Oreochromis niloticus: one gene and its partner. The protein of the gene in region 2 binds, or shares a complex with, the protein of the main gene of each other region. Links are inferred from orthologs where the notes say so. Each region holds a gene or a part of one and is shown on either strand. Other genes may lie near its edges.

The links.
Region 1: the proteins of csf3r (region 2) and csf3a are in contact, whole or in part, in a crystal structure (PDB 2D9Q), measured with the Homo sapiens proteins. The link is inferred for Oreochromis niloticus from reciprocal best matches to the Homo sapiens genes CSF3R and CSF3. Residues at the interface, in NP_000751.1 of Homo sapiens: Arg164, Arg190, Lys191, Leu193, Leu194, Leu195, Tyr196, Gln197, Asp220, Met222, His261, Ile262, Asn263, Arg311, Pro313, Leu314; in NP_000750.1 of Homo sapiens: Ser42, Leu45, Lys46, Glu49, Gln50, Arg52, Lys53, Leu141, Asp142, Asp145, Thr148, Thr149, Gln152.

Annotation. Positions count from the first base shown.
Region 1 is NC_031973.2:19,710,343-19,719,631, reverse strand, and holds csf3a (colony stimulating factor 3 (granulocyte) a), read left to right. Parts: upstream 1-5,148; 5' UTR 5,149-5,181; coding exon 5,182-5,197; intron 5,198-5,252; exon of another isoform or gene 5,253-5,348; intron 5,349-5,722; coding exon 5,723-5,895; intron 5,896-6,405; coding exon 6,406-6,513; intron 6,514-6,604; coding exon 6,605-6,751; intron 6,752-6,851; coding exon 6,852-7,043; 3' UTR 7,044-7,680; downstream 7,681-9,289. Other genes in the region: med24 (mediator of RNA polymerase II transcription subunit 24), read right to left, coding at 8,009-8,125, 8,720-8,868. UniProt on the Homo sapiens protein: Granulocyte/macrophage colony-stimulating factors are cytokines that act in hematopoiesis by controlling the production, differentiation, and function of 2 related white cell populations of the blood, the granulocytes and the monocytes-macrophages.
Region 2 is NC_031976.2:26,817,669-26,827,222, reverse strand, and holds the start of csf3r (granulocyte colony-stimulating factor receptor), read right to left. Parts: upstream 3,947-9,554; 5' UTR 3,789-3,946; intron 2,164-3,788; exon of another isoform or gene 1,978-2,163; intron 49-1,977; 5' UTR 1-48. UniProt on the Homo sapiens protein: Receptor for granulocyte colony-stimulating factor (CSF3), essential for granulocytic maturation. Plays a crucial role in the proliferation, differentiation and survival of cells along the neutrophilic lineage.

The DNA of each region.
Region 1 (9,289 bases), on a different chromosome or scaffold from region 2:
TCAAATCATAGTTCATGGAAGATCTACAGTAGTTCAGCTTAGTTGTTTTTTATTTATAAAACTGTTTCTTTGAAAAGTAAATTAGAGTTTATATTTATAATAACTATAATATAATAACATCACTAATTGTAATTGAATTGCTAATGTGCAGTTGCATTTACAACAAATTAATCAGTGGATTATGTCATATTATGATTCATAATTATGAAACATAACAGTGAGGCCTCATCACTGGCTTGTACTCGATCAGTTACATATACTCTCACTGAACTGAACTATTGTGTAGATTAGCAAAGTGGCTCCTGCCTCTGATACCTGATCTTGTTAATGTGACTTTGAGTTAATTTGCTTTTCAGGAAAAGAAAAATTAAGATTACTCTTATTTTTTTTTACCTAAGCTTACTCGTCAATTTGTTGAGCTTATTGAGGAAATGCTAAATGCACTGGTTATACTGTGTAGCGTTTTTCCACTCTGAGCACTCAAAGTGCTTTATACAACTAATTCACACTAATTCACACTAATTCTTACAAGCACTTTTTTCTATGCCTTTTCTATGTAAGTGCTTTCTATCTAACATTCATATAAATTCATACTCTGATGGATGCATCGGTTAGTTTCTTGCCCAGGGATATTTAGCCTGCAGACTGGAGCAGCCAGGCATCAAACCAGCAACCTTCTGATTTGCAGATGACCCCCTCTCCCAGTACCAGCGCCTTGGATTATATGTTCTTTATTTCAATTTTAGCCTATATAAACTAGCTTATGAAAACCTTTTGTAGATTGGACCAACCAAAACCAAATGGAAAAACTGGGTTTACCTGTGTCGATGTCATGAACTTGGTCCTAGTGATGAAGTTCACACAGGTTTTGGTTACAACTGTCGAAAATAAATAGTTGTTTATCATCCCGTTGTTTATCAGCTCGAGATGATTTAAATGAGGTGTAATCAGGTCCTTCGGGAGGAGTTGGGCTCTCTGAATGCTCTTGTTTGACATGTGAATGCAAATTATGATGTAACACATTTCATTCTCTTTTTTGCCCAACAAACCATAATGAAAAGCTAAAGATTCATTTGCAGGCTGGAGTGTAACAAGCAAATGACTTGTGGTCTATGCAATAACAGGAAGTCATAGACCAAATCCTCGTAGTTAGTGTGTACAGACAGCTACACATTTTGTCATGACGAAGTCAGATTTTTTTTAAGGAATTACAAGTTATAGCATCGTCACCATGTCTGTGAAGTGACTGACACTAAAATCACTTCCCCAACATCATTTTTTCCTCTCCGGACATCTTTTTTTCTGAGGAACCTACCTCGTTAGTTTGAACGCATATCTACTCAGACGGGCTGACATTCAACGTAAAACGAATGATGCAAACCATCTTTCTCAACCGGTCACCGCTTTTGTAAGAGGTTACCGGTATCAACCGATTAAACACAACTGTCTTTATAGAAAATCAGTGCAAAGGCCTTAGCTTTAGTGTTAAAACAAATACAGAAACAGATGAGGATTTTCAGCACAGCGGCGAATGATTCTGTTTTAAGGGATCATGACATCTAGAAGAACCAAAAATAAGACTTACATATTAAGAAAAACTTTTTCTTCCTTTAATTCCTTTAACTATTTGTACATTTTATGGTAATCAAACCCTTCAGTCATTTTCTGGAGGGGTTTCAAGGCATTTAAGGTAGAACTATCTGTTTCATGTCTCACATGCCAATTAAAATTCCATCTTAACCTCCACAGTATGTCCAGATTCATCTGTGGATCCAGCGTTTAAATTAAGAGCTCAGCATTTGTCAACATAATTCAAAGTTCAACAAACCGCAAGGCTTTCAGTCACAACTGACATATTATACAAAGTGTAATCAACTCATGCATCAGGTATCGTTCCTCTTCCACTACGCAGGGCACGACTGTTCAACCCTTCTCTGCTTAGCCCAGTGCAGGGCCAGCACATTGTTCCTCTGTTACAACCAAATCATGTTTCCAACAAGGTCACCGCTGGGCCGTAGAGAGAGATTACAGCAGTGAATGAATGCCTCCTTTCACGGAGAGGAATGATTGGAGATCAGAGCAGTGTAGATTTCAGGGATCAGATTTGACAGCTTTATTTCACAACCCATCAAGCATGGCCACATATCAGAGCTACACCGACTGATCAAGTGCCTCATGTTAGAGCAAGAAGAGAACCGATCCTATCGACGGCTACAGAGGAGACACAGGACTGACCTGCGAGGTGATTACACTCTGACTATGATGTTTAGACATGTTTTCAAGTCAAACCTGATAACCAAGGCAATGAAACTGAAATTAAAATTATGACTTTAAACATGACTTAACATAAAACATTGTGATAGAGCTGAAATGTACATGAGGGAACTGTATCTCACACATGCCTTGCTACATCAAATCATAATGATTCATGAGTTATAGTAATGTTCGCGCCTTATTTATGGTCAGGTCTGCAGATCATGCAATAGACTAAAAACCAACCCAGTAATGACAGAATTCCTAATGCTGTAGTCATGATTAATTCAGAATAACTTCATCATCATGCCATGATGACTTCAGAGGAAGTGGTGACCAGATCCATCTTTAGCACTCATAAATAAAGGATAAACAATAGATGTCCATGTCCACAGACTGTATGTATTTACGGAACAGGTTGGCAATAAAACTAACATACAAAAAAACCCCCTAAAATAATACATGATACAATTAACACTCACATAAAAGCCTTCTACCACCTGAAGAACATTTCCAGACACCCATCAGACTACGCAGATGAAACCCTCAGTCCTTCCTGGCTAGACTCCTGCACTGGTGTGCTGTTAGGTCTGCTCAACAAGGCCCTGGAAAGACTGTAGTGTGTTCAGAACTCAGCTGACAGACTTCTTACTCTCAGTCCTGGCAGCCTCTGAAACCCACCCATATACGCCTCCACTGGCTCCCAGTCAAGTCCAGCGTCTCCTATAAAATCCTTCTCTTTACCTGGAACTCCCTACATGCTACATGACCCCCAGGACTTACTGGACCTTCTCCTCCTCCAGTTCAATTTAATTCAATTCAATTCAATTTTATTTATATAGCGCCAAATCACAACAACAATCGCCTCAAAGCACTTTATATTGTACAGTAGATCTTACAATAATAGATACAGAGAAAACCCCAACAATCATATGACCCCCTATGAGCAAGCACTTTGGCGACAGTGGGAAGGAAAAACTCCCTTTTAACAGGAAGAAACCTCCGGCAGAACCAGGCTCACGGAGGGGCGGGGCCATCTGCCGCGACCAGCTGAGGTGAGAGAAGGAAAACAGGATAAAGACATGCTGTGGAAGAGAGCCAGAGATTAATAGCAGGTAGGATTCAATGCAGAGAGGTCTATTAACACATAGTGAGTGAGAAAGGTGACTGGAAAGGAAAAAATCAATGCATCATGGGAATCCCCGGCAGCCTACTCTATTGCAGCATAACTGAGGGAGGATTACTCCTCCCTCAGTTATGCTGCAATAGGGTCACCTGGTCCAGTTCTAACTATATGCTTTAGCAAAAAGGAAAGTTTTAAGGCTAATCTTAAAAGTAGACCCCATCTTGTAAATATTACTATTTAGGGACATAGTGTACAGTTGAAATAGCTTGTAAAAAAAAATATAATAATAATAAAGAAGAACAAACAAAGAGACACAGTATATATGATTATTATAATTAGATAGATCACACACTCGCTGGAATTAAGTGCATTAAATTCCATAACTGTTGACTTTAATGTGGAGAACCTATTGAATCGTAATTTTTTTTTAATATATTACTGAAGCATGGCAAGTGTTCAAAGACGAGCCCACCAGGGGGGACTGTTGTATCCGTTGTAAGTCTTTTCACTTCTTCTCTGTAGACGACACAAAATCCGGTGATGTCACTAACCCGAAATCAGTGGGCAGCTGTATGAATGACAAGAGGAAAAACTTTGATCGTCCTTAATACCGCAACAGGAACCACAATAAATAAATAAATAAATAAATAAATAAATAAATAAAAAAAATCTAAACACAACGTTTACAGTGTGGGGGTGCAGCTTGGTGTAGATAATCGAGATTGAGGTGACTTGATCTCTTGACAGATTAGGCAGTTACTTTTCGGCTGCTCCCTTATTGACAGGGGGCCGCCACAGACGGGAGCTGTTTGATCTTGGGATGAGATGTCACATGTTTCAGTCTATTAATAGATTTTTTCTAAAAAAAGGCACGTCGTCAGGTGACTCAATGGCTCAACAGGCAAATGACGATGGACAACATTAGAAAACAAAAGAATCCAGTGTTTCAAAAGGCAATAATTCACTGAATACTTTTTCATTTCCGTTCCGTTTCCTTCTCTCCTTCCTTTATATTTTACTAGTTTTGCACAATCTGTAGGACGACAGTAACTAGGAAATCTCACTTCCTAAAACGTAATTCTGGAATTGTATTACTTAACTATCAAATTTCCTTCTTCTTTCTTTCTTTTAAAAAATATTTTGTTACAATAAATAAATAAATGAATGAATAAATAAAAATCAGGTCCATCCATTTAACAAGTTTCATTACGACTTTTTAAATTTACCTTTTAATTATTATTGTTTTTTTTTAGATTTATTTGATTTTGTGTCCTTTTTTCAATTTAGTTATTTTATATCTGAATGTGACTCAAAATGTTTTCATATTTTTTAAAACAAGAGTTTTATTTATTTATTTTTTGTTTTATTTTGCTCCTATTTCTCCCCAAATTTATTAGTAGTAGTATTGTTAATAATAATAATAATGTTATTATTATTATTATTATTAGTAGTAGTAGTAAATTTCAGGTCCATCAATTTAACCTGTTTCATTACTTTTATTGAATGAGGGTTTTTTTTGTTTTGTTTTGTTTTTTCATTTTTAATGCTAAAAAAACAAGCCATACTTTTAATGTGAGCTTGATTAAATTTCTACTCATTTATTGGGGCCAATAATTTGTATTTGAAGTTTTTTTTTTTTTTTTTTTTAAAGTGCAAACGTGTATATTTTTAATCGAAACACCATCAGATGAGTAATTGGGGGAATTTCCTCCACACAGTCCAGCTTGACATATATAAGCCTGCCATAAATTGATGGTGTTCACTAGAGGTCAATACCTTAAAGGCATTCCCTAGCAGAGGCCATGCACATTCTGATTGGTGAGTAGTGAGGCAATCCTTACAAATTACTGATTTCTCCTCTCTGCTGATCGTCCCCAGAGAGCGAAAGCACTCTGTAGAGTGTAGGAAGCTACAAGAAAATTCAAAGGATCAGCCTTTGGACTAGCAGACATCTCTGACTGATAGAAAGGCAGGTTTGTTTTAGAAGCACCAGATGTTTTGATTCATTAATAGGGCTTTTATTCTGTGTTAACATCTGGTGCTTTTTAAAACATCTGCTTTTCTTTTCCACCATGCTGATCTACTGCAGTTACTTTTGGCTCAGGCTTCACATTACACGGGCTGTTCTCAACTGCTGCACATATTTAGCCCCAAGGGGGGACATGCCCAAATCTGCAGCAGAGAGGACCGGTTGAGAGGAGGCTTTGTTCTGCCTTTTGTTCTCCTCTGCCTCCACACAGCATACTGGATGAATAACGGGGGTTGTTTCAATGCTACGCCGCTGATGCCTTGAGATTCTTGTTTTTTTTAATTTTTGTTTTGTTTGCTTCTCTTTTTTTGCAGTTTTCGCCATTTCTTGCTACATGGCCACGTTCGCCTTCAGCGCACCTCTGCCGGAAAGAAGCGCACTTGTTGAAGATCCGGAATTTCAAGAGATTGTACAGAAATGCAAGCTGTTAACAGAGAAGATCCTTCTCTCTATCCCCGAAACACACAAATCCTGCATTAAGACGGAGGTGAGACACACTAATGCAGTTTTGCCTGGTTTCTTTAAAGCTTCTGCGTCATGACTTGTGTTTGATAATGTGCTGTCAGCGTAAGGAGCCTGCACGATCGAGCCTGTCAGCGGCGTTTGTATCTGAAATGCGCTTATGTAGCTGTTATGACTGATATGAACAGTCTCTGGAAAAGAAGCAGCACATGTCTGTCAATCGCCTTTTTTGTTTTAGATGACAGGCAACTGAGTTATCAACATCTGGCATGTTTTTTGTTTTTTTTTACACAGCTGGATTTTACTTGAGTATTTCTGAAACCACAAATAAAAGTCTCCTAATGACTCAGCATCTTGTAAGAACGCAGGACAAGTATTTCTGGTCTAGTTTTTAGGATGTGACATTTTAGTGCTTTAACTTAACGATCTGACTGCTGCCTTCACTGCCCCCCCCAAAAATCCCAACTCGTGTTTGCTTTGGAATTCCTCGCTGCTATACATCCTTAACAATTTGATGTTATTTCTTTTATCGTAGACTGTGCAGCTCAACTCCACAGATAATACGCGGTTTGAGATCATGAGGTCCGGGATTGGCATCCCCTCTGCTCCTCATATCAAAGCCCCGTCAGAAAACGTCACTTTGGTAAGCATTCTTTGAGAGTGAACTGTCATCATGCTTTGAGAGTCTATAAGCAGACATGATGACCAGTTTTTTTTTCTCTCCCTTCCATAAGGAGGACAGTTTGAGACAGCTCTATGAGGGTCTGCAGCTGTACCGGGCCTTGCTGGGCTCCCTCGGAAACTACCATAGGCTGGCAAACAAAGATAAAGTCACCGGGCTAATGGCTGATGTAAAAGACCTCGCCATTCAGATCAAAGAGGTAGGAGAATGTTTCTAAATTACAGCCAGTCTGACAAATAGTTTTTGCATGTTGCATCTTCTCAATGCTTAAAATCATTTTCCTTGTTTTGCTTTTTTAGATGCTAAAAATTGTCCGGCCACAAGGTTCACCCCACCCCACCAAACCCTCCGTGTCCTTAAATCTACCAGCAGAATACGAATTTCAGGTGGCAGCACACCTGACTCTGGTGGATCTCCAGTCCTACATTCAGGACCTGGTCCGCTTCCTCAGGACTCTGGACCGCAGCACAGAGGTGGACACAGAGTCCTAACCAAAAAGTGTCATACTTTGCTTTTGCCCAAAATGTACGTTATGGTATTTATTGATCTGTGAAAGCATTATTTATTTTTGTATTTGCATTTCATATTTATATATTTATTAACAGAACTGGACTGGACTATTTATTTCCACCGTTTAAAACTAAGGAAATGTTAACACAAGTGACTAATGCTCTGTAAAGCAGTACATTAACGTATTGCTAACAGCAGAATATTTTTGTATAATTTTTATTTAATTTATAACAATAATAATAATAATAATAATAATAATAATAATAATGACAATAATAATAATAATGATAATGTCTGTATTTTCTTATTTTTTAATTAAAAAACCATTTTTTTCTGAAAAACATTTGTACCTCTTTGTGAACTAACATGCATAATTATAGAAAACAATAAAATGAAACCCAAACTTCCAGTGAAGTTACTACTGTAATAGAGAAGTGCAACAAAGAGTGAAATAAGGACTTTGCTGTCATTATTTCCGCTACTGAACCAGACGGATGTCCTTTAAGAAGTGTTGCAAGCGGTGTATGACTGTGACAAGAGATGACCCACAGTGCCTTGTGTATGGTGTCATGTGTTGGGCTGGCTAGCATGTGATCATTCTGAGTCAAGGGACAACAACGACAGCGGCCACACGTCATGTTACCGAAACTCAAAAAACACAGAGGTGCCATAACACCATGACGTGTTACAAAAACTCACAAAACAAATGCAACCAATAAACACAGGCAAGCACAAAAAAAAAAAAGATTTTCTGTCTGATTTCTTTATTTATTCCAAAATTATTTACAAGTGTGAAAACAAAAAATATAAAAGAATATCAAAACAATGTGAGTCCAGAGCTCTTGCAGACTGTTTTCAGCCCTCTGCTGCGCTTTTGTTGCCCACCAACAGAAGATAAATCCGGCAATGCCTCGATTTATTTCGGAGGTAAATTTAACGCCGAGCCTCACAGAGCAGAGATGGCTTTGGCAGCTACACGTCTCCCCAGCGGCAGAGTCAGGTCAGTGATAGCGAGCACAACTTTAGGTTTGGCCAGAGCGGGCAGCTTCACCAACTCGGAAACCTAAATGTGCAAAAAAAGAAAAAAAAAAAAAGAATTAACTGTTATTCTGAGAGGCGGCATTTCCCAAGAAACACTAAGAATTTTAATGTGTTGCTCAAGGATAATTGTCATTCCTTTTTGAGTGGGTGTGTTTCTGACCCTTGATCTGGTTTTTATGGGACACTCATGATAAAATGTAAGTAGAACAAAAGAAAAGAATTAAGAAATACTTTTTCTCAGAACTAGAAAAAGATGTTCCACTAAATCAGCGAAGTTTTCTCCGTTACTCATTTTTTTCTCCTTTCTGTTATCAGTTCTGGTTTGTTCTTGGCATTTTACTCCATTTCAAACTCTGCACATGTTTTGAAAATGTGGCAACCCTAACATTTCGAAGCTTGTAGGAGTGATTAATATCTCTTGCAAATGCAAGAGGCATCTGTGCTATGACCTTCAGATTCCCTCTTGATCTTATCAGAACACTCAGTCTTTAAAGGCAGTAGAACACTTGTAAGCAGGATTCCTGAACCCTTCCCGATAATATCTAAAGAAGCAGTCATCCCTCTCCCTCCTTTATCTCCACCTGTCTGGCCTCTCCCCTCACAGCTCATAACTCACCATTGTAAAAGGCATGAACTGCAGGATGCTCCCACGGCTTCCCTGCTCCAGACACTCAACACACTCCTCCATGAAGCTCTGCACAAACTGGGTGTGAGGTCCAGCCATCTTTGAGCCAAGGATGGAGGAAATGAGGAGAAAAAGGTTGGCTAAAAGGAAGAGAACAGATGGTAAGTACTATCCTGCTGAATTATTTTATATCCCAAATCAAATCATCCCCAATATCAACACTACTATATCAACACCACTGACAAGATGAGTCCTCCTCTTGCTGCAGTGCACTGTTGGGCTGGGTGTTAGCATGCTCTGGCATAGAGCTGGGCGATAGAACAATAACGATATGTATTGCGAAATAACTTTTTGTCGATAGAAAAATTAAACTATTGCGATAGACCTCATCTCTCTTGTCCTCTTAAAAAAAAAGAAAGAAAAAGAACAGCCAATCCAAATTAAGTAGCACAGAGCCGAACCAATCACAGCCGCAGAGTCACGTCACGTGACTTGTTACGTACAGCACAAGCGCCAAGACGCACATGTGTATTTGTTTTTGCAGCCGTCCAGCCCGGGTAA
Region 2 (9,554 bases):
CGGACATGCCGTCACAGCCTACATCAGTATCTCTGCAACTGTAAGGTACTGTGTGGAAGAAAAGACAAATAGTTTAGAGTACTAAAGCAATTACTAACTGATTACCAAAGTAACAGAAAACAATGGAATTGAGTTTTTTAGTGGTATTAAAAGGACATTTAATTGTATAATGAACACCGTTAAATTCTGACATATAGACATGTAGTTTTAAAATTTGTGCAAATTATTCAGACGATCACGTTTTGCAGAATTTAATGCATTAAAGCCAGTGTATGTACAATAAAAAACGTTCAAAACAATATTTCACATGACAATAGTGATTTTGTTACTAGAAGATCAAAATATTGTGTTCAGTGCATGAAAGAATTGTTAAAAATGTTGAGTAAAATTTAAATATTTATTTCTGGACATTTCAATTTTGGACAGGTGTCATTTTATATTATAAAATAAAATACCAGATGGTAACGAAAGTTTGCAACTGATAAACAGCATTACGAGGGAGCAGAATCATAAAAATGTGAGAGTAGAGTTTTAAATTCATTAAAGACTTCAAGCAACTCAGTAGTAAGGAAACCTCTTGGGAATTCTCTAAAATTATGCCAAATTATTTATTGTTAATTCCCTTATGTCTTCATCAGAACTACATTTCAGACTGACGTGCAGTACTGTGCAAAAATCTTGAATCACCCCTCATTTCTTTTAGTTTTGCTTCACTGAAGCCATACTTTCTAATAATTTTTAAAGTGGTCTAGAACAACAGTGCTCCGGTTTATTCTCTGGACATTGGCTGCTTTTTAACCAGTTTTTAGTTCTGTGGATTCATCTACAGTTGTTTAAGCCAAATAACACACAAACTTATCTGAAAATAGTGTGGCATTCACATGTGAAATTTTTGGCTTAAATCATTGTCAGTATGTACAGAGGTGGTCAGGAGAGAGGTACAGCAGTCATCTACAGTCATCTGTAAAACACACTGGAGGTTCTGTCATGGTTTGGGGCTGTTTTCCACCAGAGAGGTTGTGAATCTTGTCAAAACTGATGGAACTATGAACACAGAATAGTACTGTCAAAGTTTGTTCCACCATGTAATACCATCTGGAAAGCATCTGAATGGCAGTGTTTTCATTTTTTAGCATGACAGTGATGACAGACACACTGCCAATGCAGTAAAAGCATGGCTGTATAGAAAAAACACACAGTGGAATACTATCAGTCATGGACTGACCTCCCCAGAACCTGAGCCTCAATATTACTGACGCAGTGTTGGATCATCCTTGCAGAGGATGAAACAACAGGCAGACAAGATTTGAAGAAGAGTTTTTAATTTCCCTCAAGATGCCTGGAGACCTATTCCTGAAGACTACTTAAATTACAAGAAAGCATGCCTACATGAGGTCAGGCTGTTTTGAAGAAGAAAAATGGTCATGAAGCTTATTTTTGTTAACTGAAATAAAATGAAAAGTAGACTTTAAAAAAGGGAAAATAACTCAAATGATTTTGTGAATTTGAAAACTAAAATACAAAAAATACAGAGGAAATAATTTGTGCAATATTCATTATTTTGGTAACAATTTTACCAAATTGTCCTGTTGTCCTCCTCCTTTACAGTTTATAGTAGCCAAAGATTTCAGCCAGTTCTACTCCAATCATACAGGTAAAGATAATAAAACACACCATTTTAGTATGTAATGCTAAAAGGTCATAGGTCAAAAGTCAAACATCAGTGTGTTGATATGAAAGCAGGGCGCATCTTGTAATAAAAAGTTTTCATATAGCCTTTGCCCTTCATGAGAGTTGCACTCTTTGACTGCACTTGTTAGAACTGGTTTTACCCTGTATACTGTTTTTCAATTTATACATGCATGTTTCGATAAATCACTGCAGCCATTTTCCAAGAAAAATCTAAAAAAAAATATGTGATGGGGAAAGAAATAAGACATTTGCACAGTACTGAATGTGTGTGTGTGCATGACTCACCAACATACAGACATCTACCCAGAACCAGTAAGTGGTACAGCATTGAGAAACTTCCTGTGGTCTTGTAACACTCAACCTGCCTGTTTCTGAGAATAAGCTGAGAAACTCACAGTTCCTCAGGTTAACATGTAGCATGCGCACAACATCAGGCGACTGTTCAGAGTCCAGTTCAATTTGTTCTGTAGGCTAAAGACACAAATGACGTATTAGATTTTGCCTATAAGCATTTCTGGTCTAGAATAACATTCAACCGTTGACCAGAAATGTTATGTTCGTAGTGGCATTGTAACACCTCCATAAGATGAGGAAGTATAACCTAAAATTTGTATAATTTGTAACTATCACTCAAACTGTTAGATCGCTGCCCTCAGTCCAAAATAACTATTTGGTGAAGACTGCGTTTTGCAATGAGAGAGAAATGGAATTTTCTCCCCGTTTCTTATCAGCACTGTGCAAAAAGGCCCCCATTTCCCCCCGCTCTCCTTTTTAGAATTTCTGCTTACTACTAATAGGTAATTGCCTGTGGCTCTGACAAAAGGCAATTGAAGGAAAGACAGAGAGAGTGAGCGAGAGAGACGAGGTGGAGAGCAGAAAAGCGTATTAGACTTGGAGTGTATTTTGTCAATAACACAATATGACATACTTAAAATAAAGGCAGAATAAATGAAGTCTGGCTATTCTTTGTGTTTCGGCCAATTATGTTCAGAACATATAGATGAGAATACATTATGCAGAATTTATTTTCGGGTCTCGGTGAGTCATGTCTCCATGTTAAAAGAAATATTTTGCTACAACTTCTGTAGATTTCCTTTCCTGTTGCTGTTGAGGGTTACAGAACGCCCACTTTAAGGATTTGGCAATATCCCTCACACATTGCAAAGTGTAATGACAGACTCACCGCTATTTCCCCTTTTTGGTTTTATTTCTCACACTATACAGTGTGTTTTGAAAAGAGATTTAAAAGGAGTTAAAGAATTGATTCGTTTTTTCCTATCATGGATGTTAAGACATGCTGACCTTTTATGTAGGCAGTATCTAAAATCCCACACCGATTGAATCTTTTTCGCTTCCGATTTTTAAATTGTCAGAACATGTTTTCCATACACTAAAATACTGTTGCCCCCGTGATTAGAAGAAAACTGCAGTCATAAAACATGTTAAAAATATTGCCATAGTGTAGTCTTTAGAGCTTGAAAAGGAAGGCGGCTGGATTTCTTTAAGGTTTTTAAAGACATTTCACCTCTAATCGAAGACATTTTTTCAGTTGTGAGGGGTGAAACAACTTCAAAAATCATAAAGAAGTCCAGTCGCCTTCTTTTTCAAGCTCTTAAGACAATCATGACTTGGGCGACATTGCTGTATTGTACTAAATTTAATAAAGGTTTAGGTAAAAAGCCCTTTGTGCAACGATCTAATAACTTATTTTTAAATTTTTCAAACGATACCCTTCAAGTACTATAAAGCACCGTCTTATCTTAGTATTGCTTATTTAATCCTAAATGTATTAAGAGTGTGTAGTGTGTGTGTGTGTATTAGGTATTAAACTACAAAGGATGATAAATGTCACATCTACAATACAGAGGGACCAGAAAATCAGATTAAACATGGATTAAAGATGATTTTTTTTAAATAAGTTGAGTGGTCCATAACTTACATGTAGATGAGGATGCAACTACCTAGCTTTAACCTCATTCAGAAACAAGTTTAGCAAAGTTTTCCTCTTCAATCTGGCACAAGTATCAAAATGAAAGAAGCAGCAAATTGCTTGATGTGAAGATAAAGGAGAGTCATCAGAGAGGCTTGCCACTCACCACACAGCAGCTGCAGCAGACCCAGAAAGACAAGAGGCTCTTATCAGCCCTGATAGCACCAGATGAAACAGCGTGGCTCAAAGTAGCTCGGATTTGAGGACGTGTGTGTGTGTGTGTGTGTGTGTGCCAAGAAGCAGCACAGGCAGCAACATCCTTGTTTTGCATTTGTGAAACTGCTATTTTCCAAGAAGAAACATGTGACTGATGGGGCCCAGTTATGGGAAGGAAGAGTGGGGAGTTCACATTGCTCAAATTCAAATTTTTAAAAGCTCAGCAAATTTTTTTTTTTCACAGGTGGTGTTGGCTGTTTAATTTGTCACAATAATATGCATTGTTTTTCTAAATGGAGTAATTAGAACAATCATTATAGCTCAAATTATAGCTGTTAAATGTCAACTGAATTGAATTTTCAGTACTTTCCCAGAAGATGCTAATACAGCAGCTGTCAAATGTCCTTCAGTTGGACTCCAGGGAGTCTTCTCGCAAGAAGAATGTGATCATTCTGGTTCAGGCTGACCCCTCTGTGTTTTGTGTGACCTTTGAAGTAGCTTCAAAATGCACTCATCTCCCTCTCTGAGCCTGTCTAAGACTTTGTCAGCATGGTAATAGAACAAGCTCTTAAATGGGATTGTAAACTGTGCCTTGACCCCCCCAAGGGCACTTGAAACTAGTTGCCATATCACGATTATTAGCTTATTAAATTCTAAAATGAATCGGTGGCTTAGGTCTCATTTCACTGCATGCAAGGAGACCCAGCAAGCTCACCCACTCCACTTTTAATCTAACAGCTGCATCCCTGCACGGTCACTCTCGTGCCCTCAAAAGCATAATGGAAGCTAACTGTTAATCAAGAAGCCGCTGGAGGAGGAATTAAATCCACGCACTGGTAGGTTTTAGGGTAGGAGTCAACCTGGAGAAAAGAAAAGCAGGCATTAATTAAAAACACATTAACTGGTTATCATGAGTTGACATATTTTGCTTGATCTTTTTTCCCCCTAATCAGCAATAATGAACGAAGCGTTTGCCATCCACTGGGTATTACACGCTATGTTTCAGTGAGCGGTAAAATTAGCTGAGGGCCCCGAAGCCAAGTTGAACTGATGAAGCTTTGCTAGGTTTGATTACGGTTTTTGTCCTATGCTTAACAGAATGCTGTCTCCTCCTTAGATTCTCATTCACCTTAGAAATGCGACTAACCTAAATTAGACACTGCTGTAAACATCATCTCATATCTGTCTGCTTCTATACAGTGAAATACTATAGTGAACTGCAGTCACAACTGCTGTAATTCTGCTAATCGTGTATACTGAAATACTGAATATTGCCCTCTGTTACAAGAGTGACATTCCACTACTGCACTCAGCCTGATAAGTCGAATGCAGCATTCTTTACCACCAGTTATGTAAAATACTGATTGCACTGATTAAGATTTTTGTTGCCAAAATTATTACAGTTTTGTTTCATTAAACTCAACAGAACCCTATTTACTGATGGCACACCAAAACTATCATTTGCCAGTGAACGAACAGACAACATCATGGTGGACTGCTTCGCTGACTTAAAGACGAGGAAGCTCACGCTCACATACTCAGTAATGAATTCTGCATTTGATCAATAACTGACTTACAATAGAGTGAGGCAATATGGCCAAAATTAACGTTGAATGGGAAGTGAACCTCTGAAAGAAGAAACTGAGGGCTTTTGAAAGGCTTGGTGTAAGCACAGGTCTGGAACCCCAGAAAATGTTGCAAGGGGATTTCAAATGAGAAGTACATGCAAGAAAACAAAAATAAAAGTAAAATAAAATATTGAGACATTTTTACTGTACATTGAAACAACAAACTTCAAAAAAACAGTCATTCTTGGAGCTGGAACTCTAGAAAAATACTGTAAAATAATTAGATTTTTTATAAATCTTCTGTCGCTTCAACATACAAGTGTGCTTGTGTAGTTTTGCAGATGTTTTATGTAAATAAGTTCATTGTCCAGGTGAGGTGATGTTTCCTGCTTCGGCTTTAGCCTGTTGCATCTCCACCTGTGATCAGGTCAACTGCAGGGTTTCACCGCTGGTATCCCCGCTCATAGATGTTTGCCCACGAAACCAGTTCATCTTCCAGTGGGGGTCTGGTAGCAGACTGGGGACATCTTGCAGCCACCCCCTGCAGCTGCCTTCGCTGGTGTGCTGTCCCTCAGTCTATGTCATTTTCCTGCATCCAGTAGCTTCCTTTCACAGCTTTGTTTCCCCAGTGCCTTTGTGGTTTTCCTCAGGCTTGCACCTATGCCTGTACCTCACAGAGGGTGGACTGTTGTCTTGCCCAAAAAAGCCCTCTTACCCAATTACCAGTTGTGTCTTGTCACTACTGGTAGCATGATCTGGTACCTGCAGCCCATTTAGGTTTCAGAGGTAGTTCCTCCAGGATGCCACATCAATACAAGCCATTAGAATAAAGTTTGCTGTGTCTCTGAGCAGACACAGCTCAGAGCAGTCTTGTATTTGAGGTACTAGGACACATGGAGTTACAAAAGGAGAGTGGAAAAGAGCTGTAAAAGGCCATCAATCCAGCTCCAGGAACAACATCTGCTCCTTTGTGCAAGGAGACACAGGACATACACTGGCAATGCAAAATGATCTCCACTGGATCACCTATGTTTACATGTCTGACCAACAGGGTCCAACATCCTTTATTTAAGCTTTTACTCACAGCCCAGTACGACGCAGATCAACACCAAAACTGGCAGGTCCACTACTGGCACCCGATTCTCTTCACAGATGAGAATCGGGTGCCAGTTTTTGTTGTTAGGAATGAATGGCCATCATCCACTCACTGGATTTGTTCCTCTTCATTTTTATCATTTGCTGCTCCACCATGACATATATTGTGTTAAAAGTAAAAATAGGAAATATTTGGGTAACAGTCTTTACATTTACCTTTGCATATGTCAATATACTGATTTTTATTTTGCATAGGACTGGTCAAAAATATTTAAGAGACTAGCAAAAAATATCTATATATCTATCTATCTATACTACAGGAAAAAAATCTATTTATATTTTTGATGGATATTTGACTGAAAGTTTTTCATTTTCAATGATACTACTAGTATTTGTAGATTTTAAAACAAAAGTCTGCATGATGGTTTGAAGTCTGTGGGGGGCTGTTTATTGATTCATTATGTTATTTATTTGTCTGTTAGCTTTCGGTTTTACTTCCTACTTTTAATTTTTCTTTCTTTTTGATTTTCTGCCTACCCTTTTTGTTTCACATGTGTTTAATTAGTCAACCTTAACTTCTACTTACCACTTCTTTTAAGTCTGTGTCTTGTCCTGCCTCTGTTTCTTTCCCCATAGCTTTTTATTTTCCAGCTTATTGGTTTGTGTTGTGATTTCCATCTCTCCCTCTCAATATATAGAGATATAGATAGAAAGAGACAGATGTGTGTGTGTGTGTGTGTGTGTGTGTGTGTGTGTGTGTGTGTGTGTGTGTGTGTGTGTGTGTGTGTGTGTGTGTGTGTGTGTGTGTGTGTGTGTGCGCGCGCGTTCTTTGTACCTGATTCTGTTATTAAAGCTCATTTTGGTTGCTCTTGCACCTGCCTATTTTGTGTCCCACATTTTTGTATGCTTTTGAACTGAATCACAACACTGGGAATAAAAAGTCCATAATATGTGTTCTTTTTAATTATTTATTTAAAGAGCCTATTCGAAATTATATTTCAAAGTGATCTACCTCCAGTCCATTTGTATAATTCTACCAGAGCTTCAAATCATTAAAATATAACCTCCAGAAAAGAGAACACACTTCATTCTTTGAAGAAGAGGCTGAAAGAACTAATGGAACTGGAAAGAACTAATGCAAATAATAAAAGGATGGACATTCAAAAAAATATATCTTTGTGTTAAAAAATATAACAGCCATGTTGTTGCTCTGAGACTCAACTTAAGTGAAATGCTAATGACAGTATACTTGCATGTTCACAGTGATAATGCTTCCTGATATTTCAGTGCTATTCAATGCTATCCTAGTATTACGCAGGCATGTTTACCATATTTGCAATATTTTAGAATAAGCACAAAAACAGTTATATTTCAAATGAAAAGAAAATAGATGGATTAAGTTGAACTAAATAAACCAAAGAGACCTGACAAGACCTTATTCTACATGCTTCCTAAACTTTTCATTATCACTGTACAGTTTACAGTTTTATCGATTGTTTTTTGCTAGCATGGCTTGAATTCAGCTTGCTTTGCTACACAATTAAAAGCAGATTTGGTAGGTAGGATTTATGTGGATGTGTATTCTATACCTAATATAAATCTCTGTAAGTTTGTTAGTTTGATTATATCTGTGAGCGCACTTAGGGTGGCACAGTTGTCTTGGTCTATGCCTGAACAAGACTGTCACCGACCATTTCCCAGCAAACCTGTGTTCCCATTGTGCTATCTGGCCCCAGATATTCTTAAGGCATACTCACACTAGGCATAGCTGCCTTTCATTGTCCCTGCTCTTTGGGGATCAAACACAATGATGGTATTGATAGCCAAAAGAGAGTAGTTAGAAAAATCCTGAGACTAACTTCTCATGCTCTCTAACTTGCTTTGGAAACGTGATATTATGGATGACAATCGGGTTCCTGATTTTGCACTTTGTGGTATAGTCGGAGCAGTTTTGGAAACGGTGACACACTGCTCTATCACATGCCTTATAGATGTGTAAATTACTTAATAAAGCAATTTTTACAAAGAGCACCATCATTGAGGAAGCACGGGACTTCCTACACACTTCACGAGTGTGAAGTGCACCAGGGTGCAGAACACTAAACCTTGACCAGACATAGTACACAGCAACCACACCAGTCAAATGAACCTAACGAACGTTGGAGATTAAACATGCTTGGGATCACATAGTGTGATCACTGTCTTAGTTTAATGCAATTTGTGTAAATGGCTTTACTTGCACAAAATGTGTGACAACAATTAAAAACAAAAACTGTCAGTAACTGAATTTCCATAATAGGTCTCCATAAAATCATAGTTATGTTCTCTGCACATTCATGGTGCTTGTCATACAAGTTCACTTGTGAGCACAATCACATTCAGCATTGACACTGTTTAATGTGTGTATACACCCCCGAGTTGTGTTACACTATTGAGCGTGGCCTCTGGCACTACACTGCTGTGTCGACCTTGCGGGTTGGTTGAGTGAGCCTGTGAGCCACTGTGTGTGTGAGAGAGGGAAAGGGAGAGAAAGACAGAGAAAGGAGAGGGTCAGACAAGCTCCAACTCGCGCTCCTGCTCCTTACATGCACCCAATCCACTCCTATCTAGTACCTGTCACACGCTGGCTGCAAAATGGAATTGACTATTGATTTCCCCCTTACCACAGGTCAGTTGTGCTGGCAGGCTATAGTGAGCTCAGTGAGAGCCTTGCGTGGGACAACAAGAGGAGGGGAAGAAACACGAGAAGGAAATACACACATTTCAAAACACACAGCACATACACGCTCTTATTAACTGAGGCTTTGTAACGGAAGACAGTCAGCATTGCTTTAAAAGAGGTGTGTGTCACAACATGCAGTGGAACACACTCCGGACTGGGTAACCTGGAAAACCGCGATAAACCTGCGGTGGAACTTAAAAGGCACAATAACGTAGTAAAAAAAAAAAAATACATTTGAATTATTTTAAGATTATATGGTTCCTCACATTTTGGACTGCCACCCTTTTTTGGTCTTTGAAATAAGAATGTTTGGGAGAATATTAGCTGCCAA